Linked DNA regions of Elephas maximus indicus. The protein of the gene in region 1 purifies or fractionates together with the protein of each later gene. This does not show direct contact. Links are inferred from orthologs where the notes say so. Each region holds a gene or a part of one and is shown in the gene's direction. Other genes may lie near its edges.

The links.
Region 2: the proteins of DHX38 (region 1) and PPP4R3A purify together in Homo sapiens (co-immunoprecipitation; 3 studies listed by BioGRID and IntAct, with this or other methods). This does not show direct contact. The link is inferred for Elephas maximus indicus from reciprocal best matches to the Homo sapiens genes DHX38 and PPP4R3A.

The regions. Positions count from the first base shown.
Region 1 is NC_064839.1:38,397,846-38,413,781, reverse strand, and holds the start of DHX38 (pre-mRNA-splicing factor ATP-dependent RNA helicase PRP16), read left to right. Parts: upstream 1-7,516; 5' UTR 7,517-7,605; exon of another isoform or gene 7,606-7,616; intron 7,617-7,644; exon of another isoform or gene 7,645-7,736; intron 7,737-9,952; 5' UTR 9,953-9,971; coding exon 9,972-10,294; intron 10,295-11,138; coding exon 11,139-11,326; intron 11,327-12,209; coding exon 12,210-12,314; intron 12,315-12,853; coding exon 12,854-13,001; intron 13,002-13,165; coding exon 13,166-13,284; intron 13,285-13,444; coding exon 13,445-13,521; intron 13,522-13,946; coding exon 13,947-14,102; intron 14,103-14,684; coding exon 14,685-14,846; intron 14,847-14,970; coding exon 14,971-15,078; intron 15,079-15,936. Other genes in the region: TXNL4B (thioredoxin-like protein 4B), read right to left, coding at 1,392-1,543, 3,927-4,058. UniProt on the Homo sapiens protein: Probable ATP-binding RNA helicase. Involved in pre-mRNA splicing as component of the spliceosome.
Region 2 is NC_064828.1:105,159,684-105,174,644, reverse strand, and holds the start of PPP4R3A (serine/threonine-protein phosphatase 4 regulatory subunit 3A), read left to right. Parts: upstream 1-6,626; 5' UTR 6,627-6,752; coding exon 6,753-6,894; intron 6,895-14,961. UniProt on the Homo sapiens protein: Regulatory subunit of serine/threonine-protein phosphatase 4. May regulate the activity of PPP4C at centrosomal microtubule organizing centers.

The DNA.
Region 1 (15,936 bases):
ATAGGGCCATTTGGTGTATAACTAAAACCAGTGCTGTGGGTCACTGTGGGAGGCTGAAAGCTGTCATGTGAAGGGCTTCTGCTTCAAAATCTATTTTAAACACTGTTCAGATCATTAGCAAGAAGAGTTTTCTGAGTGTTGGCATGAGCTTAGTTGTTTGTTGGTTTTTTTTGCTAGGCACTGTGCAAAGGCCATTAACTAGTCATGATCCCCAAATTCTACTCACTAATGCTTTGGAATGGAGGATATTAAATATTTATATGTGTGCTTTTTTTTTTTCAGTATTACAAATACCAGATCTGTTTATATAGACATTTTATACAAGGAAATAAAATTACCAGTGAGGCCAGTGGTCGTATTTTAGTGTATATCCTTCTAATCCTTTCTACGTATGTTTTTTTATGTATGTATGTGTGTATGTGCGTGTGTGTGTGCTTAAGTATATTGCATGTATGTTTTTCACAATAATGAGAACCATACCCCACAAACTATTCTGTGATGTGCTTTTCTCAGCTACCATATTTTTTTTGAAGTTGTTAAATATGCATCTACAGCATCCTATCGATACATAGTAGCTCTCTGTGGACATCTAGGTTCTAAGTCTTCGCTTATAAAGCAAATGAACATCCACATAGCCAATTTTGTCCTCTTTCATGATTATTTTCTTCAGAGAAACTCTTAGAAATACAATTTCTAGGTTAAAGACACTGTTAAGACTTTTGATATGTAGTATCATAAATTGGCCTCTAGAAAGTTTATACCAAATTAATAATTACATTAATTGTGTTCCAGGAGAATAAATAGCTTGCACTTTACAATAGATAATGACAAAGAGATATACAAATCTATGCAAGCAGATAATTCAATTAAAGCAAGAAACAATAAGAATTACGGATATACTCAATAACAAACACTGGGATGCTGACTGGATGGAGTGGAAGGCATTAAAGAAGGCTTGAAGCAGTATGACTTCAAAATTCCTCTGGGTGGCTTAAAACAGGAAAGTTGGCAAGACAGAAGCATGTCTTAGTTTGCTGGAAGGAATGCTTCTTTTACAAATACAACCTACCAGTCCCAAGAGTTTAAGAATAATCACATATTTTGCTTAAAATGAAATTCCTAAGAAAAATTTTAAAAGCTGTTCTATATTTAAAAGCTGAAGAATGGCTAGTGCTTTGTAAACTGTACTATTCTTCCATACTTATGCAGGAAATTAAAATTTACCAATGCTACATGAAACACTCATTTTACACGAAAAATTAGAAAGTGCAATTGAGGAAACAATCCTTTTAAGACTCACAGGGCCAACACCACATGCAAACAGGTAAGCTGCTGAAACTGCTTAAAGGAAACTTTTAAGGCTGCAATAACGTCAAGTCAACCTCACTTACCCATAATCCACTTTCATATGCTGCCCATTGAAGAAAAATACAGTAGATGGAATATAACTGATGTCAAAATATTGGGTATAAACTGGAGTCTCGTCCACATCTACCAGGTATATAGCAGCCATTTTACTCAGGTGAGACGAGGTCTTGGAAAGCTGCGAATGGAGAGAGAGATGCAGGTTACAATGTGAGAGGAAGCTAATGTCTGTTCTGTAAAACTTTTTACTAGGACAGAGTATCTTATTTGAAAATTATTCCTGGGCCAGGAATCTAGTCCTTTTGGGTTTCACATTAGGCTACATTAGACATGGTGTAACTACACCACCCAGTCTGAATTATGGCTGACAAGGGGTTCTGGGTAAAGTTGTGTGAATAAATTTTTACTCTTATTTTTTCCCTAGTTTCGATCACATGGGTTTCCCTGTTTTGACAACGCGTTATAAAAATAACACGTTCACTTAAAAACAAAAAACTCTGAAATATATAATGCAGATACCGAAAGCCCCCGTAATGATAGCAAATACTTTATCTATTTGGTACTTTCTATTTTTTTTATGTGCTAACTGTTCTAAGTGCTTTCCTTCTGTTAACTCATTTAATCCTTACCATATTCCTTTGAGGTATGCACTATTATAGTCCTCATTTTATAGACGAGGAAACTGAGGCACACGGAGTAAAGTAATTTGCCCAAGGTCATATAGCTAGCAAGCAGTAAGGCTGGGATTTAAACTCCCATTTTGGCTTCAGAGTGTGTTTTTGACCTCTGTGATATACCTGCCTCCCTATAGCTAAGGGTATGCTTTTCTGGTCGTTCCCTTTCTCCCACCAAGGTTAACACACACACACACACACACACACACACACATTCTTAATCACAGCAGTGAGGATCCTAACACCTGATGCACACTGTTGGTGGCAGTAATAGAAATGGAGGGAAGAGGTCTCAGTGTTGGGTTAAGACTCTGTCTTAGGCTGGGTTCTCTACAGAAGCAAAACCAGTGATGTGTGTGTGTGTATGTGTCTGTGTATTTACATACACACACATATATATAGGAACCTTGGTGGCACAGTGGTTAAGAGCTTGGCTGCTAACTAAAAAGTCACCAGTTCAAATCCACCTGTTGCTCCTTGGCAACCCTATGGGGTAGTTATACTCTGCCCTATACTGTTAACTATAAGTCGGAATCAAGTCGGCAGCAATGGGTTTAGTTTTTTTTTTTTTAATACATATACGTATGTATACATATGTGTATTTATAAAAAAAAAAAAAAAACCTGTTGCTGTCGAGTTGATTCCAACACATAGCATCCCTATAGGACAGAACAGAACTACCCCATAGGGTTTCCAAGGAGCGGCTGGTGGATTTGAACTACCGACCTTTTGGTTAGCAGCTGTAGCTCTTAACCACTGTGTCACCAGGGCTCCAAGTATATGTATATCCCCAACCCAGTGCTGTCAAGTTGATTCTGACTCATAGCAATATTTTTTCTGGTTTTTAAGATATATGTAGAGAGAAAGAGAGCGAGCTGGAGGCTTCTCCTGACTTACACACCTGCAGGGGCTGGTGAACCCAAGATTGGCAGCTCAGATAGCAGGCCTCTGGCTCACAGGTTGCAGAGGCTGATGAATCCCAAAATCTGAAGGTAAACCGGTAGCTCAAGTTCCAAGAGCCAGAGGTCAGATGACAATCCAGAGTGAGCAAAAGCCAGCGAGCTTTGCCAGAAGGTCCACATATATTGGATGCAGGCCAGACCCCCAAGGAAACTCCCTTTAAACTGACTGGTTGATCACAGCAGGTCTCATCATGGAACCGATTACATTATGTCAGATCTCATTATGAAGGTGTTTACATTATATTAGATCTCGTTATGGAGGTGATTTTATCATTACGTAGCTGCCAAACTACATCATAACTGCCAAACCACTGAGAATCATGGCCCAGCCAAGTTGACAAACAACCTTAACCCTCACAGGCTATCTCCATAATAAATGGGAGACAAGAATAAACCTAATCTGTTCCATACACTCCCTCCCTACTCATCAGAGTGTGAGGATGTGTTGTGAAATCAGAGATTATAATCAAGCACATACTGGAGGCAGCAATCTAGATTGAAAAGAGCATCTGCAGCCAGTTCAAATCCAAGCTGTGCAGTTTAGTGGGTCTATGACAGTGGCAAGTGACTTGACCTCTCTGCTATTACCCCATCTGGGAAGTGGGGCTACCATTACCTCACTATTTTGAGGACTGAATTAGATAATGTTTGTAGACACTTGTTAATAATGTTTTCTCCTCTTATACTGCGTTGTTGGTGAAACTGAGCTTCAACAGCAAGTAGTGGGGAAGGACACCCAGGACAGATTCAGCACAACCACAGCTTTGGGGATTCAGCTCAGTGGAAGGAACATCATCAGTCTTTAGTGAAAGTGTGCTGAATAGTGAACAGCTATAGCCCCAGGCTCTGCCTGCTCCCCTTCATACATTTTGCAGAAAATGTAATCATTTTTAATAAAAACCATTTATTAAAAAAATTCACTTACAATATCATCTAGCTGCAGACAGACAGGATCCTCGTCTCTCCCAAACCTGAGAACCAACACTTTCTCTGCAGTACTTTTTATTGCCTGGTCTACTTCTTTTTTGCTGATCAGCTTGGGCAATAGGAAGCTCATCTTGAAATAATCCAAATTATTAATTCTCGCTGGCAATCCTGAAATAAAGCTGCAATGTTTAAAGACAGTTTGAGTGCATGAGTCCTAACTATGTAAAAAAAAAAAAAAACTTTTTGGAATAGGTAATTATATTTACGTGGTATAAAAACAAACAATACAGAAATTTAAAGTGTGAAAAGTCTTCCCTCCTTGCTTTTCCCTCCTCCAGCTCAGTTCCCATTTCCCAACCTCCCCCTGAAGCCCCCATCAGGTATTATTTTTATCAGTTTTTTACATATCTTCCAGAGTACAAATATGCATTCCTATATTTCTTCCCTTTTCACCCAAAAGATAGCCCACTCTATCAATGTTCCAGCAGGAAACAGATGGCACCCTCAACTTTGGTAATTTGAAGACAGTTTAGTGAAGGCAGGATGTAGGAAAACAAGGTATAGTGCAAAACTTTGGGGCTAGTAACCGTGGAGACATGGGAGGGAGTAGTTACCAGAACTGGATGGTGGAGACAGCTGAGTGGAGAGTGCTGTTGGCTAAGCAATCAGCCTGCAGTTAAGGGATGCAACCACTCTCCTCCCTCCTACTAGTGCTCCCATGGCTGCCTCCAAATGAAATCATAGGGCAGGGGACCTGCTGAGGCAGGCCAGCCTCCGGGTCACAGAACAGTCTAGAGGAGGAAAGGCATGTCGGGAGAGCAGATGGAAGTCCAGCACACACTTTATCCACTCTTCGCGCTTTGCATTTTTTACCTAACATACAAAGATTTCATACTTATATAGAAAACTTCCACTTTCTTTTTCATAGCTGCGTACTACTTCATATCATACTATTTAAACAGTCCGTTATTGATAGACATTTGTATTAGGGACATGGCAAACAGATCAGCTGAAGGCGTGTAGGAAACAACAATCAAAAAAACACAGAAAATACTGAGATAGAAAGGGCCTTACCCATCCCCCTCATTTTACAGACTAGCTTGCTTATAGTTACACTTCTAGCTCTACAAGGACTAGAATTCAAACTACCAAATTTCTACTCCAGTGCTCTTTCTACTATATAAGCTTCTACTTTTATTATTGAAGAAATTTCATTTCTAAGGAACTTCTTAACAAGGAGTTTTTTGTTTTTTTAGGCCAATCTTGAGAGATTTCATTGAAATATACTTGATATTTTGAATTCAGTTCCAAAGCTGGCTAATGTTAAGAAAAAGTGAGAATTTCTTTCATTGTATTTTTGTGATATGTCATATCTTAAGGTATGAATAAAAATTCCTGCAATAGGTCATACTTTAAACAGGGAAGCTGATTGTCAACAGGGAATTCACAAACTGTTGGTATCAGAACAAATTACCGATGAAAAGTCAAAGAGAAGATTAATCTGTCCCACCACTAGATTGCAAACATTCAGAAACTCCTCTATGTTGCTGATAAAGAGAAGAAGGTGAGGGGAGGGCAAAGTTGTCAACAAGGAAGCCAGGGGGGGACTGGATGGAATGCTGGAAGGAGAGGGAAATTGAGATGACACTTAAGAAAATGTCCATAGCAAAGGATACTAACAGGGAATTCACAAAACAAGAGGTACAAATGGCCAATCAATCATAGTTAAACTGTGATGCGTTAAGATTGTGTGTCAACTTGGCTGGGCCATGATTCTCAGCGTTTACATGTGATCACTCCCAAGATGGGATCTGCTGTGAGTAACCGAGCAGTTGAAAGGAAGTTTCCTTGGGGGTGTGGCCTGCATGAGAATATATGCAGCCATTCTGGCTTTTTGCTTGCTCTGGATCCTGCGGCTGCCTCCTGTTCGTCTGACCTCTGGCTCTTGGGACTTGAGCTAGCAGCTTGCCTACCAATATTGGGACTCAGCGATCTTCACAGCCTGTAAGCGAGAGCCCTGCTCTTTGATCTGCCCATCTTGGGTTCACCAGCCCCAGCAGCTATGTGAATCAGGAGAAACTACTATTCTGATTCACAGACTTGGGACATTCCAGCCTCTACAATCAGTGTGAGCCGTTTCCTTGATATAAATCTGTGCATTCATACGCTCTACTGGTTTTGCTTCTCTAGAGAACCCAGCCTAAAACATAAACTTTACTAATAACTAAAGAAAAACAAATTAAAAGATAACTTTAAAAATCCACTAAATTTGCACAGATTAAACAAGATAATAATATACAACAATCACACCAAATGTGAATGTTGGGGCTGGTATTAATCATCCCTGCTGGAATGCAGAGAGGCAAAACTATTCTGGAAAGAAAGCTATTCTTTGACCAACTATTCCATTAAAAAAAATTAATACATAGGAAATAATCATACACGTGCAGAAAGATTTATTGTGTAACATGTATTCATTACATTTATAATGGTGAAAAATTGGAAACAACCTAAATGGCTATCAATAGGGGACTGATGACATAAATGAACACAGTCCTGCAATGGGCCACTATACAGCCACTAATTTAGAGATGAACAATTAATATACTGAAATATTCTCATGATACATAGCTCAAAAAAAGTTACAAAACGGTATGTAAAGTATAAACCCAATTTTACATGAACCGTAAATATAATGTATGTGTACATATTTGCATAGAAAAATTGCTGGACGAGTAAACATCGTAAACACCATCAGTGGTTATTTCTGGGTGTGGATAAACGGGTGATTTTTATTTATTTCAGGGTGTGCCTCTGTCCAAGTATCCTACAATAAACATGTATTATGAGAGAAATACTTGATAAACTTTTTAAAGATGCCTGTGGTTAGACTGGGAGCCCTGACGGCGCCGTGGTTAAAAGCGCTGGCTGCTAACCCAATGGTCAGCGGTTAGAACCCACCAGTGGCTCGGCAGAAGAAAGATGTGGCGGTCGCCTTGGAAATCGTATGAGGCAGATCTACTCTGTCCTTTAGGGTCGCTGTGAATCGGAATCAACTCGAGAGGGCAACCGGTTTGGTGGCTGGGCTACTCCTGTCTACAACTGCCAGGGAAGACACACTTACTTTACTTGTACAAGTCACCTTCTTCCACTTCAGGGCTGTCAGCAAACGGGACCCCTTCTCGGAAGAAGCGGGACACACGTGGCGCTTTTCTTCAGCTCCAACTCAGGCAGCGACCCTAACGCCAAGTAACCGAGGGGCTGTTGCCTAGCAACCCTCCGCTGACCACTTCCGGGTAAAGAAACGAGAAAGAAAACGCACTGGTGTAGTAGATACTGAGCGGTCGCTGGTCAACCTCCGTTTAACCGCCCAATATGCAGGCGAGATTATTCTAGTGACCGCCCACTTTACCGGCTCTAACCGGAAACCCTAGAGTCACTTCCGCCCATATTAAATATGATTCACCTTTCTTCTTCAGCTCTTCCCCCCCTCCCCCATACTAGACGTTGGATAGTACCTTTGAGACTAAGCGTGATTGGCTCGCGAGGAGACTCAAAAGAGGATAGTCTAGCCTTGCCAGCCAGGTCGCGCTTTGTCCCACTCCTGGAACCAGGAACCGGCGTTTGGCGGACTGCTCTCGGTGGTATCTTTGCGCGGATAGAGAAGGCCCCGCAAGGTATCATGGGGGTAAGAATGGCGGCTTTCAAGGTGCGGATTTTGGCTCCCTGAGGCCGCCTGAGCGTAGAGTGGCGGCGCCGACGCCCCACAGTCCGGGACCGAAGGGCCCGGAGAGTTGTGCTCGCTGCCGTGAGTGTCCCTTCTTTTTCCTGCCCTTGCCACTCCGGGCCGCTCCCGCGGCGGATATCGATCCCTTGCTCAGGTCCGGGTTTGAAAAGTTAACTTTTTCGGTTGTCACCCAACTCGCTTTTTTCACCTCAGGGATGCGTTCCGGTCCTTCCTGCCCTGTCCCCTTTCTTTGCTCCGGTCAGATCCCTCACCCCTCCTCAGGCCCCTGCCTTAGCTCACTCCCTGACCGATGATCAGCCGGAGTAGGGCCCCGTGTGTCTTCCTCTGTTTTTTCACGCGGCTGTCGTTACCAGACAACTTCGTGGGCGATCACCTCTAGATGTCAGCTTCAAGAGTGCGAGAATTTTTGCCTGTTTTGCTTTCTGCTCTGTCCCTATTGCCTAGAACAGTGTGATTGGCTCAGAGAAGGCACTCAGTGAACAATTGTTGAATGAGTTAATCTAGCTTTTTCTTCACTGTTTTTCTCATACCTTTTGTGGCGTCTTTGTCATTAGTTCTCCAGAATCTAGCCTCTTCACGCCTTATTTTTTGTTCTTCAAAGCTAGTTAAGGCCTCTCTGTCAGAAACCTTTTCGTGTGCTCCTTTGCTTGATGTCTCCATAAACTTGTGGCGTCTGGTTCTCCTTTGATATGTTTAAACTCATTCATTTATTCCTCAAACGTTTGTTTTAACTAGGTGCTGGGCTAAAGCAGTCAACAAGATAGACGAGGTTCCTTTAGTTGTATAGAATGGTATTCTAGAGGTAAATTTTCTAGTTTAAACTACAGCTACTCAAAGCCTGTATGTTTCTACCTCCCTGTTTGGAGTGTCGCACATGTATACAGGTGTCACCAATATGCGTCCATCTCTTTTATATTCTGCCTAATATTTTCAAAATGCAGCTCTTGCATCTGATTGATAATGTGTGTCCAGTCTGTTTGACTGTACTCTCAATGTAGAGCTGGGTGTGTTCATTAGAGCTTGGCAAAATATTTTGGATTCTGGTGGCACCCTACCCTTTCCTCTGCTTCACTGACTTGTTGGAATGAGGGGAATTATGCAAGCACTCAGAATAGGTGTATGTTTGCAATGCCGTGTAATGAGAAGTAAGAAGAATTTGTTACTTGTTGAAGGTCAGGAAGTCTTACAGTCACTTAAACAAAATATTTTTCAGGAACACCGTTCCCTAGAGTTTCTCATCAATGTTTTTGGTGAACATCAATAGTTATTAAACAGATTTTGACTGCTGTGAGGTAATTCTTTTCTACAAAACACACTGGTCTGAAAAAAAGCCACCAGAGTATGGATAATATGGATGGCAGCCTAATACCCCAACATCTCTATGTACTCTGTTGTATCTGTAGTTTAAAGAGAGGGATAGAGTAGAAGAATAGAGAGTACATTCATGAAAAAAAAAAGTGGCAAGGGACCCACTCAGTATATAGGAGTGTGGTAAATAATGTAAAAACTTTAGTTATATAACTGTTTATGGTTATAAAGGAGCCCTGGTGGCACAGTGGTTAAGTGATAGGTTGCTGATCGAAAAAGCAAGGGCCCTTTGAACCCACCAGCTACTCAGCAGGAGGGGAGAAAGATGTCATAGTCTGCTGCTATAAAGATTTGCAGCCTTGGAAACCCTATGAGGCAGTTCTAATCTGTCTTATAGGGTCACTGTGAGTCAGAATTGACAGCAGTGGGTTATAGTTACATAGAACTTTCACATGTACTTTCTTGTCTGATCCTCATAATAATCCATATTTTAGGTAAAGCAAGCATCGTTTTCACTTTATAGACATGGAAGCGATGGCCAGCCAAAGATTAAGTTATTTGCTTGTAATCACGCGAATAGACAGTGTCAAGAGCCTGGATTCTAACTCAGGTTTTATGACTTCAAACCTAGGGGTGTTTCCACTACATTGCCTGTACAAATGCTGCTAGTCCCTCATAACTGTTCCTTAGTGAAGTCTATTCTTGTCTGGATGATACCCTTTTGGATTCTGGGGGGATGTTTGTGTGTTTCTGGTGTGTGTTTGGATTCTGCAAGGGGGTCTTTCAGGATTGTCAGTGACTTGACTGAAAGTTTTTTGCAAGATAAGCTAAAGATATCCTGGTCTTGTTGCAGGGATGGGGAGAATTAACCCCTAAATATACCTGTAACTATAGGTATTCTGGTATATTTCAGAGCCTAACCTTCTCCTGTTTTATGTCTTGTCTTAAATGGTTTATTCTCCTGCCAGGGAAATCCCATAGCCTGTGATGGAGGACAGCAGCGAGGATGCTTCGATCCATCGACTGGAAGGCACTGATCTGGACTCTCAGGTTGGTGGTCTTATTTGCAAGACCAAAAGTGCGGCTAGTGAGCAGCATGTCTTTAAGGCCCCTGCCCCTCGCCCTTCATTGCTGGGACTGGACTTGTTGGCCTCCCTGAAACGGAGGGAGCGAGAGGAGAAGGATGACGGAGAAGACAAGAAGAAGTCCAGAATCTCTTCCTACAAGGACTGGGAAGAGGGCAAGGATGACCAGAGGGATGCTGAGGAGGAGGACAGTGACCAGTCCGGCCGAAGTAGCCGAAAAGACAGGTAAAGGCCTTAAAAAAAAAAAAAAACCGAACCCACTGCCATCAAGTTGATTCTGACTCATAGCAACCCGATAGGACAGAGTACAACTGCCCCATTGAATTTCCAAGGAGCGCCTGGCGGATTTGAACTGCCAGCCTCTTGGTTAGGAGCAGTGTCACTTAACCACTGCGCCACCAGGGTTTCCGGTAAAGACCTTAGGAAGGATTAATCCAAAGGGAATGAAAATGGAGACCAGAAAGTAAAATCCAGTGTTTATGCTCATTTTTTTTTCATTGCTTTTTTTACCTGGTTTTTTATTTATTATTGTTTTTTTAAGTGAAAGTTTACAATTCAAGTTAGTTTTTCATATAAAAATTTATACACACGTTGTTATGTGATCCTAGTTGCTTTCCTTATAATGTGACGGCATACTCTTCTTTTCCACCGTGGATTTCCCGCGTCCATTCAACAAGCTCCTGTCCCTTTTTGCCTTCTCATCTTGCCTCTGGGCAGGAGCTGGCCATTTAGTCTCGTGTATGTACTTGAGCTAAGTAGCAGTCTGTTCGTGTATCTCTCAGTTTTTTTTATTGGCCATTTAGAGCTTTATACTTTTGTTATGATTCTGTAATGTTCAGAGTAGGTAGGAATTGATATTTTCTTCATATTTGTGGGGAGAGTTCAAAGGTAACTAGAGAATAAATGATTGAAGTTAGAAATGCTATGGGTTGTTGCCATATGTAAGACTGGGGTACCAGGGAGATAAAGTGGAAAAGGACAGAGCACTTGTTTGGCACAGCCAAGAACTTCTTTTGGGCAAGGTTTCTTTCCTGCAGAGGGGTCTTTTATCATTACCCATACCTTTCAGACATTATCGATGTGCCCGAGTAGAGACACCATCCCATCCTGGTGGTGTGAGTGAAGAGTTTTGGGAACGCAGTAGGCAGAGAGAACGGGAACGGCGGGAACATGGTGTCTATGCCTCATCTAAAGAAGAAAAAGATCGGAAGAAAGAGAAATCACGGGATCGAGACTATGACCGCAAGAGAGACAGAGGTAAACTGGCATAGCACTTATTGCCTATTAGACATTTGAATAAACATACTGCCTTTTTCCTGTTGCAGTTTTCATAATGCCCAATAATTAGGGAGCCCTGTTTGCAAGATAGGAGTCCCTAGGTGGCATAAACAGTTAAATGATTGGCTACTAACTCAAAGATTGGTGGTTCTAATCTCTCCTGAGGTGCCATGGAAGAAAAGCCTGGCAACCTACTTCCAAAAGATCACAACCCAGAAAACTGTATGGAATATAGTTCTACTCTGAAACACATGGGGTGACCATGTGTTGGAATCAACTCAGTGGTAATTGGTTATTTGCAAGATGTTAGTCTGGTTTATTTTGACCCCACTGGGATTGGGAATGATAGGCAATTTAAGAAAATTTAAAAAAAAAAGCAACATAGCTGCTTTGCTTAAGCGTATGGTTCTTATTTTATTATAAAAATTGCTGAACAGGTGATAATGGGTAAGATGTATGAGAAAATCAGATTTTACAGTATTATTGGTGCTAGAGAAAGGACAGTGCTCTGGAGCAAAGCCAGACGTAAAATCCAATGCTGGCTTTGCTCAGTATTAAGTTCTATAGCTTATAAACTTGTAACTATTAAAAAACTAGTAACTATAGAGTTATAACTCTCATTTTTTGAATTCTTGCAGGAAAATAACTATTACTGTGAATTTGAAACTTTCTAGCCAGTAACTATTTTTTCCTCTTGAAAGAGTGGGAAAATGTGAGTTTCAGGAACCCCATGGATGGCATAATAGCAGTGCAGATTGCACCTGTGAGTGAGTGGTAGAAGGCCTGTCCTTTCTCAAGGGTGAAGATGGGTGTAAGTTAGGGCAGGACACGTTTTCTAAGCCTTGCGTGTGGCTCTCCACAGATGAGCGAGATAGAAGTCGGCACAGCAGTAGATCGGAGCGAGATGGAGGATCAGAGCGCAGCAGCAGAAGAAATGAACCAGAGAGCCCCCGACATCGGCCCAAAGGTGGAATTTCCTGCTTCCTGGCTGTGGGTTGTGGAGGTTCACGTGTATAAAAGTATAGAAAGGCAGAGGAAGTGACTCCCATCCTCAGTGGGTTCATCGTGGGCAATGATTCTACCATGAGCCTCTTGGAATACTTGGTTTGGAGTCGGGTGGGCATAGCCCTGACCTCTTGAGATGGATATGCTTCCTTTAGGGAGATAAGCACGTTTGCTGAACAGGCAATTTTCCAACTAGCAGTAAAGAGTGGGGAACTGGGAGGCAGAAGGATTTATTAAAAAGAATTCTTTGTACTCAAGAGAGATATTTACAGAGACAAATTCAACAATTCTTAAAACGTTGTTATAAACAAAATGAAAACTAATCCATTAAAATCAAAAGCCTTTAAAAACTGTCAAAAACACCTTATCCATTAGAAAAAGGTGCAAGATTTATAAATAGTAAAAGAAATAAATTTGGGAAATTGACTTTTGGCTGATTGTTCTAGCGCTATGTCTTGGTAAATGAACTATTTCCTGTGGATGTGTCTTTCGTGGCTTTAGATGCTGCCACTCCTTCAAGGTCTACCTGGGAGGAAGAGGACAGTGGCTATGGCACTTCAAGACGTTCGCAGTGGGAATCACCCTCCCCATCACCTTCCTATCGGGACTCCGAAAGGAGCCATCGGCCTTCCACTCGAGATCGAGATAGGTGATGTTCTGGTTGAAGCATCTGAAGCATCCCTGTTGCTCTGGGTGGGTGACAAGGGGTGGGTGTGATGAGGCAGAGGGATCTAAGATGGAGGAGCAGCTGGCAGCTGGGGAGAATGTCTCAGCTTAGTAACTGTTTAAGATGCTGGCAATCCTGTTTCCCAGGTCCGTGAGGAGTAAGTACTCCGAGGACACACCTCTGCCAACCCCATCCTACAAATACAACGAGTGGGCGGAGGACAGAAGACACCTGGGGTCCACCCCGCGTCTGTCCAGGGGCCGAGGTAACTCAGTGGGAGGAGGAGGCAGGAAGCAAGACCTCTGATCCTGGTGAGGCTGAGCTGAGGCTGTGCTTCTGGGGCTGTGTGACTTTCCAGGTCTGGTCTTGGCCACTGGGGATAAGTTAGGCTCTTGTGGACTGACGTGCTACGTGTTCTCCTTCAGGAAGGCGTGAGGATGGTGAGGAAGGAATTCCATTTGACACAGAAGAGGAGCGGCAGCAATGGGAGGATGACCAGAGGGTAAAAGCTTAATGTCTTTAAGGGGCCGAATAAGAGGTGGCAGAGGAAAGTGGGGTTAGTGCACAAGAGCCACAAGTGACACCCTAGTGGTTTTGGACTTTGATGAGATTGTTAACACTAGCTGAGTGGTTCAGTGCTGAAGTCCTGGAATCTCTTTCCAGAGGACTGGCTCCACAGGAAAACTTCTTGCCTAATGCTGTAGGCCAGACCTAACTTTCCTTGTTAGGTGCTGGCGCCACAGTGTGGTAAGTCTAAGAAGTGCTGTTATGATGGGCTGGATGACTCATGGTTCTTTACTGCCCTTTAGTCGGGGTGCTCCATGGCACTAGTGACTTCTTACCACACGTTTCCTCCCCTATTGGCTAAATCTTGCACGTAAACTTGACCTGCTTCTTGTTTCTGTCACTTTGTCTTATGCTTTTCAGCAAGCTGACCGGGATTGGTACATGATGGATGAGGGATACGATGAGTTCCATAATCCCCTGGCCTACTCTTCCGAGGACTATGTGAGGAGGCGGGAGCAGCATCTGCATAAACAGAAGCAGAAGCGGATTTCAGCTCAGCGGAGACAGATTAATGAGGTGAGGTCACCTACAGTAGTTGGAGTGTATTCAGAGCTGAAGTTGGATGCGTATGGGAAAGGTCGTGTTCAAGGATGATACCATAGTTTGTCTCCCCGTTGCCTAGAGACCAGATGTACATACACATCTGGAGGTGGAAGAGGGCTGGGCACAGACCTTTCAGTAGCTTACAAAAACCCCAGCACGTGACTTCTCTGCTTTACGGTACTTCCTTGAGGGGTGCTGTTGATGGGTGCTGTCATCCACTCACTCATCGATATGGTGGGCCCTGGCTCTGTGGTCTGTGTCCTTTGTGTCTTAGTGGTCAGGACTGATAAGTCGAGCCAGGAACTGTCACCATTTGTGTCTCCATATGGGGGTTCTGACCTTGAGTAAGGTGCTGCTTCTTGGATAAAGTAACCGCAGGTAATTTGAGATCAGCGATTCTTCAGTCAAAGGAGCTGCAGGGTTGAAAGGCCTGTGACATCTCTTGGGCCACCCATGGTCCTCCTGTCAGGACTCGAAGGGTGGACTTGCCTGGTGACCTTTCTGGATGACCTTCTGGTTACAGTCTGAGTGTGGCTTCGCATTGTGTCCCCACAGGATAACGAGCGCTGGGAAACCAACCGAATGCTCACCAGTGGTGTGGTCCATCGGCTGGAGGTGGACGAAGACTTTGAAGAAGACAATGCAGCCAAGGTGCATCTGATGGTGCATAATTTGGTGCCTCCCTTCCTGGACGGGCGCATCGTTTTCACCAAGCAGGTGAGGCTCCCCTGTGCCTAGAGGTGGAAAGAGGAAGACTCAAAAAGAGGGAAGAAGGGAGTGAAATGGACCCTGTTGATTTTAATGATCAGTGAGGGATTTCTTTTTCCTCAACCTCCTGCAGCCAGAACCTGTGATTCCAGTCAAGGATGCCACTTCGGACTTGGCCATTATTGCTCGAAAAGGCAGTCAAACAGTGCGGAAGCACAGAGAGCAAAAGGAACGCAAAAAGGTTGGTTTCTTATTACCTGGGGCTGGGAAGTCTGCGTATTTTTCTTTTTTCTTTTAAAAAAACTTGTTAGACCTCACAGACAGGATTCCTGTTGGAAGTGAGAGGACACTCACCAAGCAAGGATCTGCCCTAGGAGGAGCGCACTGTGTTCCTCCACCAGGTCCAGTTAAAACAACCACGGGGTATGGCGCTTTCAGAGCTTGAGGCTCCAGAGCTGGAATGCATGGCTTGGTGATTTTGCCACCTGCTATGGGGATTTGCCATGTGCTAAATGGAGACTCCAGCATCATTTCTGTCACCAAGGCCATATTTTCCACCTACTGATCCTTCTTTGTTTCTAACTTTCGCATTCCAGTCATCAGTACTTTTCAGTGCATCTTGGAACACTGAAGATAGCATGATAGGAAGTTGCAAGACCAGTGACTTATTCATTACAAATATCTTTCTTCAACAACATAAATGGCGACTATATATGTGGACCTCACCAGATGGAATACACAGGAGTCACATCGATTGTATCTGTGGAAAGAGATGATGGAGAAACTCAATATCATCAGTCAGAGCAAGGCTAGGGGCCGACTATGGAGCAAACCCTCAGTAGCTCACAATCAAGTTCAAGTTGGAGCTGAAGAAAATTAAGTCCATGAGAGCCAAAGTACAGCTTTGAGTATAACCCCCCTGAATTTACAGACCATCTCAAGAATAGATTTGACACATTGAACGCTAATGACCAAAGACCAGAGGAGTTTTGGGATAGCCTCAAGGACATCATACATGAAGAAAACAAAAGATCACTAAAAAGGCAGAAGAGAAAGAAAAGACCAAAATGGATGTAAGAAGACACTCTGAAACTTGCTC
Region 2 (14,961 bases), on another chromosome or scaffold:
GGAGTCAGCACGTCCCCTGGACCTGGGATCCCTGCGCTGAGAAACTCCTGGACCCAGAAGACAGAAAGTGAGCTGTAACCTTGAAGATGGTGAGAAGCAGTGGCAGGGGAGACCCAACAGCAGGAGATGGTGTGGTGGGCTTCCCAGCCCACAGAGAAAAAAAGATGAGTGTCTTTGGGCAGAGGCCAAAGGCCAGGGAGAGGTGTGCCTGTGAGCACAGCTGGGGAGAGGCTGTCCTGACAGAAGAACTGTATCCTCAACGTTTTTGAGCCTGAATTGTAACTGTTACTTCCCTAATAAACCCCATAATCATGAGTATTGTCTGTGAGTTCTGTGTAGCCATTGCAATGATTTATCGAACCCAGCGGTAAAGTAGAAAGTGCTGTTCGAGGGATGGCTGGCGTCAGAATTAGCAAATATGGCGGAGAGAGGAGGCTTGTCTGGTCTCCACCTCATGGGACTCAGCCTTATGCTGTTGATCTTGGTTCTCCTTCCCCCTTGTGGGGTTGGAGGAGGTCAGATACTGCCCCCACACTGTTTTTTACACCATTCTTCACAATGTTACTCATAATTTGTTCTGATCCACACAAAATTTACTTTACATAGTCAATAAAACACAGGTAAACAAACATCTTTCTGGTATTCTCTGCTTTCAGCTAAGATACATCTGACATCAACAATGATATCCCTTGTTCCATGTCCTCTTCTAAATCCACCTGGAATCTCTGTCACTTCTCTGTTGATGTTCTGCTGCAACCATTTTTGAAATATCTTCAGCAAAAATTTACTTGCGTGTGATATTAATGATGTTGCTTGAAAATTTCAAGTTCTATTGGACCACCTTTCTTTGGAATGGGCACAAATATGGATCTCTTCTAAACAGCTGACCAGGTAGCTGTCTTCCAAATTTCTTGGTGTAGGTGAGTGAACGCCTCCAGTGTTGCATCCATTTCTTGAAACATCTCAATTGGTATTCCTTCAATTCCTGGAGCACTGTTTTTTGCCAGTGCCTTCAGTGCAGCTTAGACTTCTTCCTTCAGTACCATTTGTTTCCGATCATACGCTACCTCCTGAAATGGGCAAACATCAACCAATTCTTTTTGGTACAGTAACTCTGTGTAGTCCTTCCATCTTTTTTTTGATGCTTTCTGAATCATTCAATATTTTGTTCATGGAGTCTTTCAATATTGCAACTTGAGGCTTGAGTTTTTTCATTTCTTTCAGTTTGAGAAATGCGGAGCATGTTCTTCCCTTTTGGTTTTCCATCTCCAGATCTTTGCACATTTCATTATAATACTCTATCTTCTTGAGCTGCCCTTTGAAGTCCACCATTCAGCTCTTTTACGTCATCATTTCTTGCCTTCGCTTTAGCTACTCTGTGTTCAAGAGTAAGTTTCAGAGTCTCTCCTGACATCCATTTTGGTCTTTTCTTTCTTTCCCATCTTTCTAATGACCTGTTGCTTTTTTTACATATGTCTTTGATGTCAGCCCACAGCTCGCCTAGTCTTCAGTCATTAGCATTCAGTATGTCAAATCTATTCTTGAGATGGTCTCTAAATTCAGGTGGGATACACTCAAGGTCATATTTTGGCTCTCGTGGACTTGTTCTAATTTTCTTCAGCTTCAACTTGTAGTTAATTATGAGCAACTGACGGTTTGTTCCACAGTCGGTCTCTGGCCTTGTTCTGATTGATGATATTGATCTTCTCTACTGTTTCTTTCCACAGATGTAGTCAGTTTGATTACTGTGTATTCCATCTGGTGAGGACTATCATTTATGTTGTTGAAAAAAGGTATTTCCAATGAATAGGTTGTTGGTCTTGCAAAATTCTATCACACAATCTCCAGCATCGTTCCTATCACCAAGGCCGTATTTTCCAACTTCCACATTCCAAGCGCCAATAATTATCAATGCATCTTATTTGCTTGTTTGATAAATTTCAGACTGCAGAAGTTGGTAAATATCTTCAATTTCCTCATCTTTGGCATCAGTGGTTCATGTGTAAATTTGAACAATAGTTGTATTAACTGGTCTTCCTTGTAGGCAAATGGATATTATCCTATCACTGATAGCACTGTACTTCAGGATAGATCTAGAAATGTTCTTTTTAGCGATGAGTGTGACATTGTTCCTCTTCAATTTGTTAGTCCCAGCATAGTAAACCATATGACTGTCTGAATCAAAATGGCCAACACCAGTCCATTTCAGCTCACTAATGCCTAGGATATCTATCCTCGAGTGTTCCATTTCATTTTTGACAACTTCCAATTTTCCTAGATTCATACTTTGTACATTCTGTGTTCCAATTATTAATGGATGTTTGCAACTGTTTCTTTTCATTTTGAGTCATGCCACATTGGCAAATGAAGGTCCCAAAAGCTTTACTCTATCCACATCATTAAGGTTGACTCTACTTTGAGGAGGTAGCTCCTCCCAGTCAAGTTTTAAGTGCCTTCCGGCACTGTATCAGTGTTCTGCCGCTATTCTTTAGATTCTCACTGGCCAATTGTTTTTAGAAGTTTATCATCAGGTCTGTCTTCCTAGTCTGTCTGTCTGGAAGCTCTGCCAAAACCTGTCCACTATGGGTGACCCTGCAGTATCTGAAATATCAGTGGCATAGCTTCCAGCAACACAGAAGCCACCACAGTACAACAAACTGACAAATGAGTGGTGGGGGACTCCCATATAGCCCCCATTATCTTCACTGTCTTACACAGAGGTCATCTTCATGGAAGGCGCATTCTGGAGTCAAGCAGTGCATGACCCAGCAGCCCCGCTCCTCCTCTTTCCAGGACTTTTAAAGCAGGCAACACTATAAAATGATGAATGCAATGTGGATAAAGGTATGTAACACAGAATAGGTACAAATATCATGTAATGAATAGGCTCCATTGTATATTTTACAAGTTTATGTTATGCATGTAGGTGAAGGTACAAAGGCTCAGTGGAAACTTTTATGTTGAGAGCAGAGAAGGAATCAGTTACTTATTGAATCCTTAGAACAAACCTAGACATTATTCCTGTTCCTATTTTACAGGTGAGGAAACAGGTACAGAGAGGTTACCAAAAAAAACCCAAACTCACTGCCGTCGAGTCAATTCCGACTCATGGTGACCCTATAGGACAGAGTACAACTGCCCCATAGAGTTTCCAATGAGCGCCTGGCGGATTCAAACTGCTGACCTCTTGGTTAGCAGCCATAGCACTTAACCGCTACGCCACCAGGGTTTCCACGGAGAGGTTAAGCAACTAGTAAATGTCAAACAACTAACAGGCAGGACTTGGACTCATAATCCATCAGCCACAGCCTTGACCACAATGACAATGTATCTCCACCTTTTGTGATTGGCAACATGCTTTATTGAACTCCCTTGGAAATTTTCTCAATTCTATCACCATTTGTGGATGGTACAGCATTAAAAAGTGATTAAACTTTATTTATTTATTTGGGACAGGGAGTATTTAATATAAAGACCTATTACCTATAGCAGGGGATTGGAGGAAGGAGGGTTGGCTAGTAGGAAGTAAAGAGAACTCTGAAGAATGTTATTGTTGCTGTTGTTGGCTGTTGAGTCGGCTCCTGACTCGTGGTGACCCTAAGCACAAAGGAATTGGACCATTGCGACCCACAGGGTTTTCACTGGCTGATTTTTCAGAAGTAGGTCACCAGACCTTTCTTCCTAGTCTGTCTTAGTCTGAAAGCTCCACTGAAACCCGTCCAACATCTTAGCAACACACAAGACTCCACTGACAGACGGCTGGTAGCTGCACATAAGGTACCTTGGCCGGGTATCGAACCAAAAGTGGTTAAACTTTAAAAGTATTTACTGTCATTTAAGATTGTACTAAAATTTCATTCAAATAGATTGTATATGATTTGTAACTTAAAACAGAATTTTAACTTTTTTCGATTTAATAATTCTTGCAGTTTAACTTAAAAGGAATTTATTTAAAAAGTATCATTTTTCCCACAAATAAATTTACTGGTATCATAACCATTGCTGTCAAGTCAATTCCGATGCATAGTGACCCTATAGGACAGAGTAGAACCTCCACATAGGGTTTCCAAGGCTGTAATCTTTATGGAAGCACACTGTCACATCTTTCTCTCAAAGAGTGGCTGGTGAGTTTGAACTGCTGATCTTTTGGTTAGTAGCTGAGTACTTTAACTACTGCACATCCAGGTCTCCTTTATTGATGTCATGCCAAAACGAAAACCAAACCTGTTGCTGTCCAGTCAATTCAGACTCATAGTGACCCTATAGGACAGAGCGGGATGGCCCTACAGGGTTTCCAAGGGAAGGCTGATGGATTCAAACTGCTAACCTTTTGGTTAAGCAGACTGAGTTCTTAACCACTGCACTGCCAGGGCTCCATTGACAAAACTGCTCTCATGCCCTAATACTTGAAATCATGGCATTTTATTCTTTTAAGTAAAAGCATCCAGTTTTATTTTTAAATGATGAAGGTTTTGGGCTACTCTTTGCAAGCACTTCCATGCACCTGACATTGTGGAGGAGAAACGGTGCCACTTTCTGATTTTTAAATCTGCCAAGGCCAGCATCCCATGAAAACCCCTCAAACCCGGTAAATCTCTCAGCCTCGGGCACACCTGGCTGATTGGTCCTGCTCTCAGGGCCTCTCTGCATAGAAGGATATAATACAAACTACAGGACAGGGTCACTGCAAGATTCATGGTAATGCTAAGCACCTGAATTTGAAATGTGGCTGCTGCAACTGACGAACCAAATTTATTTTACTTAATTTTAATTAAAATTTAAATTTAAGAACTGATACTTAATTCAACTTTTGGAAATATTTTTGTTTGAACCAACTTGAGTTTGTGAATCTACTTTCTCAATTGTAAATTTAATGAAATTTAAATGTACATCAGAAGTTTCTATGAAAATTCTAGCATTTGAATAGAAATTTGCTCTAAGGTTAAAATACACATCGGATTTTGAAGACTTAATAGGAAAATAAATGTGAAATACCTTAATTTCTTATTGATTACACGTTAAGAAAACATTAAAAAGTATGGCATTAAATAAAATACATTATTAAACTAATTTTATCTGTTTTCTTTTTTTTTTTTTAAAGTGGCTACTAGAAAATTTTAAATTACATACGGCTCGCATTCTATTTCTATTGGACAGCACTGACATAGATGGTTTGCCAAACAGAAAAAGCCCTAAAATAAAATAGTGGCTATTATTTGCGTGAGATAAGAAAAACAATGTTATTCCTTTGTGAAGATTAACACTGCTTGACGTCAAGCAGGTGCTCCAAAAACAGTATTAGCTAGAAAATACTGGTTCTGATAAAGGAAGAGAAATGAAGGTCGCAGGTGGAATGTAAAATCAGGTTTTTGAATTGTCACTTGGCGCTTAGTTCTAGGCCCAGAAAACTTAAAGCTGTCCCGTTAGTGGCCTCGCCACGGAAGTGGGTGCCCCACGGCAGCTCCCAAGACTCGCGGTGGCCTCGCGGCCCAAACCTGTGGCCTTTCTCAGAAGCTTTTCAATTGCATCGCAAAGCGGAATAGCCTGGAGTCCCGAGCCTCCCGAACTCCGCGCCCGAGGGCGTCTGGAGCGCCTCGTCCAGCCACGAAGGCGGCCTGGATGGGGACACTCTAGGCGGCTGGTGCGCCGCGGGCAGAGCCACGGCCCCGAAACGCCCGGCGCCGGGAAGACAGGAGCAGCCGCGAAGGCGCCAGGGGAATCTGAAGCCCGAGAAGCCGAGAGCATGACGGCCTGAGACCGGGCCCAGCGACCCCAGTCGGAGGCGGGCCCACGCCCCTTTCGAACGCCCGAGCGGGGCTGATGACGAAAACAGGGCGCGACGGACGCACACACCGCCCCGCGCTCGCACGACGGTGCGCGCTGGGAAGCGCGAGGGTGTCCCGGGCCGTCACCTGCGCGACCAGCCTTCCGCCTCGCCCACGCTCTGAGCTCCCGCCACCTCGGCAACTCGGAGCCCGCCTCGTCCGAGGCCTCCGCGGAAGCGAGGCGCCAGGCCTCGCTTCTGTCTCTTTAAATGGTGGGGCCAACGGGCCGCCCCTGCAGCTGCTGCCTGGGAGGCCCCGCGCGCGCCTATTGAGGGACGAACCAAGATGGCGGCGGCATTGGCTCTGTGAGGAAGACGGAAGAGGCGGTGGCAGCGGCGTAGAGGAAGGGACTCCCAACAGCCAGGAGCGCTCGGGCGGCCGGGGGTCTCGGAGTCTCCTGATCAGCGGCAACAGTAGCAGCAGAAGCAGGCGGCCGTCGGTTTCGGACATTTGAAGAAGGGAGGGCGGTGCGGAGCCACCGGCTACGGTGGCAGGGTCAGGTATAAGGAAGGAAAACATGGCGGCGGCAGCCTGAGTAGGCGGCGGCGGCGGCGGCGGCGCGGGAAGCGACTTCGGGGAGCTCATGGCGGAGGCTGGGGCAGCGCAGTGACTGGCGCCCCGAGTTCCTACCGCGGGCGGCGGAAGGACGCGGAGCGCTGCGCGCCTTCTCGGGGCGGCCGGGCGGCCGGGCTCGCCGTGCCTGGACAATAGCGCCGAGGAGCCGCAGGCGAGGGAAGGCGGCGGCCCAGAGCTCGGGCCCGAAGGCGGGCCATGCGGGCGGCGGCGCGGCCCCGCGGCGGCCAGCGGCGGCAGTGAGGCCGGGGAGACCTTCGCTCGGCGGCGCCCTCCCGCCTCGGCTCCCGCCTTCCCCGGGCCCCTGCTCGGGCGACTCCGGCGGGGCGCCCGCCCCAGGCCCTGGGCGGCACGATGACCGACACCCGGCGGCGGGTGAAGGTTTACACGCTGAACGAGGACCGGCAGTGGGACGACCGAGGCACCGGGCATGTGTCGTCCGGCTACGTGGAGCGGCTGAAGGGCATGTCCCTGCTTGTCAGGGCCGAGAGTGACGGTGAGTGGAGCCCCTCGCGGCGGGACTCTGGTCGCCTCCACGGTTGTCGGGGGGCAGGGGCGCCCTTCGGACAGGATCGGAGGGGTCCCCGGCTGGGCTGCGGGGGCGCGGTGCCCAGCCGCCAGGGAGCTCCACGGAGAGCGCGCGAGTGTCTGCTTCTCCGAGTGCCTGGGGCATGTGGGTGGGAGGGGAGCCGAGCACGTCCGAGCTGCGCCGCCCGGGAGCGGGGAGAGGTCGGGGCCGGGGGAGCGCGGGGTGTGCGGCTCTTCCGCACCCGTGGGGTGACCTTGAGAAAGGCACCGCTGCGTCCGATCTTCCGCCTTAGTTCACCCATCTGTAAAGCAGCGAGATGACACTTTGTTGGAGCTAGGAAAGTTCTTCGCCAACTCACTCTGAAGAGCTTTTTACCCTGCACATGCTCTCCTTGTTTCCTTTTAATATCTCTCTGCTGCCTGTTTCTGATCCTGTTGCAGGTTGACAACAATGGTTCATGGATCTGGCGGCTACACTCGGCAGGGAAAATGCGCTTCTTTGCCCGGAGAAGATAGACTTGTGTTACTCAGTACTGCTTGCCTTTTTCAAAGTAGCAATGCCGACTTTTGTGGGTCGTTTTCATCTGTAAACATCTTGCAAAATTGGAATCATTCTATGCGAGCTTTTTTGGTTCCTTAAATATATGTTTATATTTTGGTTCAGGTAACAGGTGGGGAGAAGTTGGCAGATGTTTTTAAAATCGTTTAAGATCTGCCCTTGTGCCTCAGGCTTCACATAAACCCTTCACATTTTTTGTAACAGCCCTCCAGGTTCATAGACCACGTGGTGTCAAAAGTAACAGTGTTTCAGATTTATAAAGACTTGCTCCTTGTAAGGATTCCCACTTCTCTCAGTGCATACTGTGAATTACACTTAAAAGAATATAACCATCTCAGGGGAAACTGTTTTCACGTTGTTTCTTACCGGTTTGGAAGTAGTTTTATTTCACCTTTCTTGTTACTTTGCAGTCTAATTTTCCAGTAGCTTTTTCAGTTTATTATGGTTACAGTCGTTGGTCACATATCTGAATTATTACAAATTCATTTCAAGGAATTTTCCATTGGACACTCTAACCAGAGCTTCAGTTACACAAAAAACAAAATTCTAGGGATATTGACGTTCAGTTTGAACTGAAAAGTGGTACAATGGTAATTTGGAGTAAATTGTCTATGGGCTACCCAAATTAGCTTTAAACTGGAGAAAAATAATTTCTTTTTGGAGGCATTTTTAAGATTTTGAATATATTGGATTTATTTTTTTGAGACCTATCTGTCTCGTGAAATAATATGTTTGACTGTCAGGTGTTAGTGTTCTATTGTGTAGGACTATCACATAATAATCAGCTATCCTACAAGTCTGGATGTTTGGCAGAACTTTTTACTTAGTGAGTTGGAAAGGTTCAGTTAACTTCTTTTGAGATGACAGCATGTGGATCTTTGAAATCTCAAACGTAAAACCTTAATTCACATCATGTATTTAAACTTGACTTAATACAAATGAGTCTTTTGTTTAAAGTATTTTTAAACATTAAAGCATAATGTCATACTATCAAGAGGAATCATACGCTTCTAACATGGTAATTTAGGACTCTGTTTTTTTCCCAATTTTGATTTTTACCACTTTAGCAGTAGTCCCTAACGTCTTTCCCTCTCTTTGGAGGGAAAGTTGAATGACTAAAACAAATGGCTTCAGTTTTTATCTAACAGATAAAGAGAGCTAAACTAAATTACTGGTATGCTCTTGTTAAATTTGAGTTGTAAAGAAAACTGAATCCAAAGAGTGGGCTTAGAAAAATCCCAGGAAACTTGTGAAATAGTGTAGGAAACACTTTTAGTTTAATGATTAACATTTTTTCTAATAGGAAAATTCCAAATATGAATAATAATCGTTAAAATTTACCAAATGCCCACCATGTGCCAGGGATTCTTTTGGGACTTTTCTTGTAAATTCTCACAGCACCCCTCTGAATCTGAAATAGATACTATTAATAATTGTTTTTGTTAGTTGTAGTCAGATAAGCTCCAACTTATGTGTAACAGAACAAAATATAGTGCAAAAAAAGAGGTAGGTACTATTATTGCCATGTTTTACAGATGAGGAAAGTGAGGCTCAAAGGGCTAAGTAACTTGCTTAAGATCACATAGCCAGGTCAGTGTTAAGATCTTGCTTAAGATCTTTGCAGCTAGGGTCTGTGTTGAGGCAGGGAGACTATAATAATGCTGTCTCAAATGGAGTCTCGGTTCTTGTTAGAAGAGCTTGACACCTAACAATCAGAGAGGCAATTTCTGAATGGAAGTACTTGTGGCCCCCGTATTACAGGGCAGATCAGTCTTGGGGTTAGTATGTGCATCCCCTCAGTTGCTGAGTGCCTTAGTAGGTATATGGCCCACCTGCTTTGGAGGGGAGGGATGTCTGACTGAGCTATGGAGTGCATTTCTGGATCACAGCCTTATTCACTAGGTTCCTCATGGCAGTATTTGTTGTGGGAACATGTTTTCTTTAAATGTTCTTGTTTTGTACTGTCAAGTTGATTCCGATTCAGTGACCGTATAGGACAGAGTAGAACTGCCCCAAAGGGTTTCCTAGATGGTAATCTTTATGGGAGCAGATCATCAGGCCTTTTCTCCTACAGGGTGGCTGGTGGCTTTGAGCTTCTGAGCTTTCGGTTAGCAGCCCAGCACTTAACCATTGTGCCACCAGGGCTCCTTCTTAATGAAGATAAAAAAAAATTTTTTTTTTCTCTCAGGATTTATGGTAGCTGTGTACCTATAATATTACGTCTTTCAGCAGAGATTTAGTATTTTCTTTCAGCTTATGCCATACCTGTTAACTTGCTGAAGTGAGCATAATTTCATTTCTTACTCATGCTTTCCTGTCTTCGTTGTGGTTTTTATGACCTCCCACCTACAGTTTTTGAATTGATAAAAAGAAGTAAAAAAACTGGATTTCTGCACACAATGGAGGATGTCCTTGGACGTAAAGGCACATCCACACTCTTTACTACAGACACTGGCCAAGCATCGAGAATGCTGTTAGTTGCTGCAGAGTTGATCCTGACTCATAGTGACCTCATGTGTGCAAAATAGAGCTCACTGCCCCGTAGGATTTTCAAGGCTGTGACCTTTTGGAAGCAGATCACCAGGCCTATCTCCCGTGGCGTTGCTGGGTGGGTTCAAATCATCACCCTTTTAGCTAGTAGTCGAGCACTTCAGCATTTGTGCCATGCAGGGACTCCTAAATTCTGTATTTCTACATTTCAAAATAGTTTTCTCTATTATCCAACTTTACTTGCCTGTTTCAGGGTTAAGAAGCAAACTCCTCACTGTTACTTGAGGCACGGGGAGGATGAGACCCAGGGAAATGTTTTGTTCGGGTAGTATTTGTAGCTGATGGTAAAACTGGAATCCGTACTTCTGTCTCTTGATAGAACTCTGCCTTGGCTGTAGGTGGGTCTGCCCCTACCCCTACTGTAACAGAGAAAAGGAGGGCAGAACACTTTGTGAGAAAAAGGCTTTTTTTTCGGGGGGGGGGCTGCTGTGGTAGAAGAAATGAACGGAGGTACCATCAGCCTTTTTTTTTTTTTTTACTCACCTTATAAGTCAGTAATAATATAAAATGTTGCATACAGTAAACATTCCAGATGTATATTTAGCTACCAAGAAGAGCTCAGTGTTAGTACCGGGGCAAGATTGCACTCTGACAGTTTACTTCAACAGGGTTTTTCTTTGTGTGTGCACCTACCTTATAGAAAGTTAATAGTCCTGGGGTAACCAAACCCCTACTGATCATCCGTTGCAAATGATAACTTCCCACAGTTTGAGAGCTGTTACCTGCACTGGCTATAGCTCAGGGCCTGGAGTGTAGTGGAGGCTTGTCCAGCTGTGAAAGCTTTTAATAAAATGTTACCAATTTTTCCCCCTTAAACCTTCCTTTCAGGTTTTAAACGCCATTGTGTAAACTGGAGCCCTGGTGGCGCAGTGGTTAAGAGCTCGGCCGCTAACCAAAAGGTTGTTGATAGTTTGAATCCACCAGCCACTCCTTGGAAATCTCACGAGGTAGTTCTACTCTGTCCTGTCAGTTTGCTATGAGTCAGAATCGGCTTGGCAGCAATGGGTTTGGTTTGTGTGTGTGTATAAACTGTGGGCAAAAAAAAATCAGGATAGAGGGACTTGGAGCACAGACCTGCTATAGACCTTACAGATGAGTTTTTGGACTTGAGTGACTCACTTTTGGTGGTGCCTTCTTCCTACACATAAGCATTGATGAAGACGGTATAATGGGTAAGCCTGAGGCTGAACCACCTCATCAGGGGGACAGGCTGGAGCTGTTCATCTGAAGTCCTTCACTGTTTGTCCAAATTAGTCCTGAGACCACCACCTGGCCTTAGGTACTCCCATACTGTCTGAATCTGATTGGTTGGTTGATACTGAAGATTAAATCACAAAAGTTACAGAAACTCTAAAATAAATCAGTCATCCACTGAAAGGAACTGAGATCCTCTAAATATGTTAAGTTTTCCAGATAACTAAAGTTTTCCAGATAACTAAAGTTAGTTATCTTTGTGCATCAGTAATTTTAAAACCGTCGGCTATTTCCATGGAATGCTTCCTAAATATAAAACATTATACTGAACCCGTGTTGGTTAGACTCATACTTGTAATGTGTTTCTGGATCATCATTGTCAATACAAAATTTTCTACTGTACGGCAGTACAGCAACGCCATTAAGATGATGGTCTGAGCACGCGCTGAAAACAGTGCTGATTGCGCGCTGGTTATGTACTACTGCGGTAAGCACCTCAGTACAAATTTTCAACTAATACTCATGGCGATCCTATGAGGTGTAGGTATTATTTTTCTTCACATAAGTCTTGGTGTATTCTTTAATTGAATAGTGAGTCTTTTTTTTTCCAACCAGAAATCTAGATTTTTATGTGAAATCTTTCCTTTCAAAAACGTTTGCATGGAATGTGTGTGTGTGTGTCAGTGTGTCTGTGTGTTGTTAGACCAGGAGTCAGACAAGCTAGCTGCATCCAGGATGCAGGCACTAGTTTTAGGTCCTCTGATTTAGACTCATTGAGAACAGTACCTTGCTGTCTGTGCTGCCAGCTACCCTTATTCTCCTCCCCAGAGGTGTTTACTCTGTTTTGATGGTGTGATGAGGACTGGCAACAGGGTATAACAAAACAAAACAAAACACCCAAACCCGTCAAGTTGATTCCAACTCATAGCGACCCTGTAGGACAGAGTAGAACTGCCTCATAGGGTTTCCACGGTTTCAAACTGCCAACGTTTTGGTTAATAGCAGGCTCTTAACCACTGAGCCACCAGGGCTCCATTTTATCAGTGTATTTTGGGCATCAATTTGTGTTAGCATGCACAGATCTATGTCATTTAAAGTAACATCGTTTCCCACTGTTTAATTTACACAGTGTCCTGTTGGTGGCATTTCAATTTTCCGGTTGCTCTCTAGTCCGTTCCAACTCATGGCAACCCCATGTGTGTCAGAATAGAACTGTGCCCATAGGGTGTTCAGTGGCTGATTTTTTTAGATATAGATCAGCGGGTCTTTCTTCACAAGTGCCCCTGGGTAGACTTCAACCTGCAACCTTTTGGTTAGCAGCCAAGCACGTTTACTGTTTTTACCACCCAGGGACTCCATCAGTGGCATTAGAGTAGCATTTCTTAAACTTATTTTTCTCAGTGCACCTTTATACTCTTAAAATTAAAGATCTCAAAAAGCTTTTGCTTATGTGGATTATATTTGCTGATATTTAATTAAAACTAATGCTTTTGAAAAATATCAATTCATTTAAAAGTAGAGTGTTTTCTTCAGTGTTACATGTTAACAAAGTTTTTAAGAAAAAATATAAAAGAGTTCAGTGAGGAGAGTCATTGAATTACGTTCTTAGAAATATCTTACTGTGTGGTTTAATTTTTAAAAGAGGAAGATTTTCACCTCTTTCTGCATTTAGCCTGTTGCAGTGTCACAGGGTAGACCCTGTGAGAGAAATAAGAATTAAATAAAAAAAAGCAAATAACATCTTATCATTATCATGAAAATCGTGTTGATCCTCCAGCCCAGGTGGGGTCCCCAGACCACACTCTGAGAACAGGTAGCTTAAAGATTGGTTCTAGGTTTCTTGTGTTAATACAGGCATTGCTGATGAACTTTATTCATGTATCTGGGCACACTTGCGTGAAGGCGTAGGGTAATTTCCTTGAAGAGAAATTACTGGACAAAAGAAGCGTGTGTTTAAAATTTTGATAATGATAGACGATCCTTCAAAAAGGTCCTGCTGATTTTCCATTTTAGGAGTAGTAAATGAGGATTAACAACATCTTTTTTGACATTCAAGAAACAAGATAGTAATTAATGTTTTATTTTTCTTTGAGGAAGTACATGCACAATTACAGGTTTGCAGACTTTGGAATGGACTTTGTGACAAGCATTTGCTGTGTAGTAATTTTTAGTTTACCTTTGATAAGGGTTGTTGTGTTTGCTAGTGGTCTGTGTGTTAAATCCTGGAATGACATTTAATTAAATGTATTGATGCTTTTCACGTAGTTTGATCACCCTCTGTTAATTTTTCTTTTTGTATTCATATTCCCCCTCCCAGTCTTTCAGGTTGGAGGTGGGAAGGCCTTTCTCCAGTCTTGATATTGGGGTTTTCTGTGTAGGGTTGTCGATCTCTAGTCTGTGTGAAAGAATATCTTTTTCCGGTATGTAGGGGGGAGGGTCATGGAAGAGGTGAGGGTGAATTCCTCTGGAATGATAACTCCTCTTTGGGTGAATGGATGTGTTTCTCAAATGAGGTGAGGGGGCTGTCTTGCATGTGTGCGAGTTATGTTGGACCTACCTGTTAACCAAAAGTGTGTGTTAACGTTACGAGAGAACTGTCTCTATCTTTCCCTTAATGGTGCTTAACATCCCCTACAACGTCATCCCCCTCATTTTTCACCTGTTGTCTCTGCTACTGTATGCTTCTCACCTGAAGCTGGAGTCCACAGCCCTATCCGTGCCCACACATTACTAGGATGGAACTACCACTGCCAGTACTGTAGTGACAGAAACTGCTTCATATAAACTTGTTCGAGAAGGAAGGCATTAGTGTATGTTAGTACTCAACTAGGTCTTTTTCAGTTGATTGAAGAGTGTTCATAACTTGGTCTAAGAAAAACTAATAGATGGAGGAAAAAACAACTGATAGATGGAACAGGAGTAAAACTAGAAATGTGTCCATTATTTATCATCTTACTTAGCCCTTGAATCAAAAGGCTATTTCCCATGCCCCGGCCTCTGTAACCTACTGATCTCTTAGGGAACATGGTATTTGGGAACCAGAACTGGACTTCCTGAAGTGATGATGTCTTATGGCTGAAATGGGTTTCAGGAGATATTCTCCCTACATACTCTTATGAAATGACGCAGGGAAAAAAAAAAATTGCCAATACCAGAAGCTTTTAGTATAACCTGTTGGGTGCCATCAAGTGAATTCTGACTCATAGTGACCCCATATGACAGAATAGAACTGCCCCTGTAGGGTTTTCTAGGCTGTAATCTGTATAGGAATAGATGGCCGGGCCTTTCTTCCTCAGAGCCACTGGGTGCGTTTGAACTGCCAGCCTTTTGGTTAGCAGCGAAGCGCTTACCCGTTTGCACTACCAGGGTTCCTTCTAGTATAACTACATGTACGTATTCTTGTTTTAGCTGGGGCTTAGGAGGAAATGCAGGCACACTCAGATTCATAACCCACTTCATACTTTCATCCTCTTCCTTTCTGATTACCCTGACCCTGCCACATTTAAAACAAGTGCAAAAGAGACTGGTACTTGTTAAATAATTGCCAGCAGGGATTAGGTACCTGAAAATGGCATACCACTGCCCGTAGTTTTGTTTTAGCAGTTGCCCAGTCAGGTGTGTCAGTCAGTCTTGAAAGCACAACTTGAAGTGACACAGCTTGAACCTCCTGTGCTATGTGCTGTTAACCTAATAAAGATCATGAGTCTTTTTTTTTTAAAAAAAAAAACAACA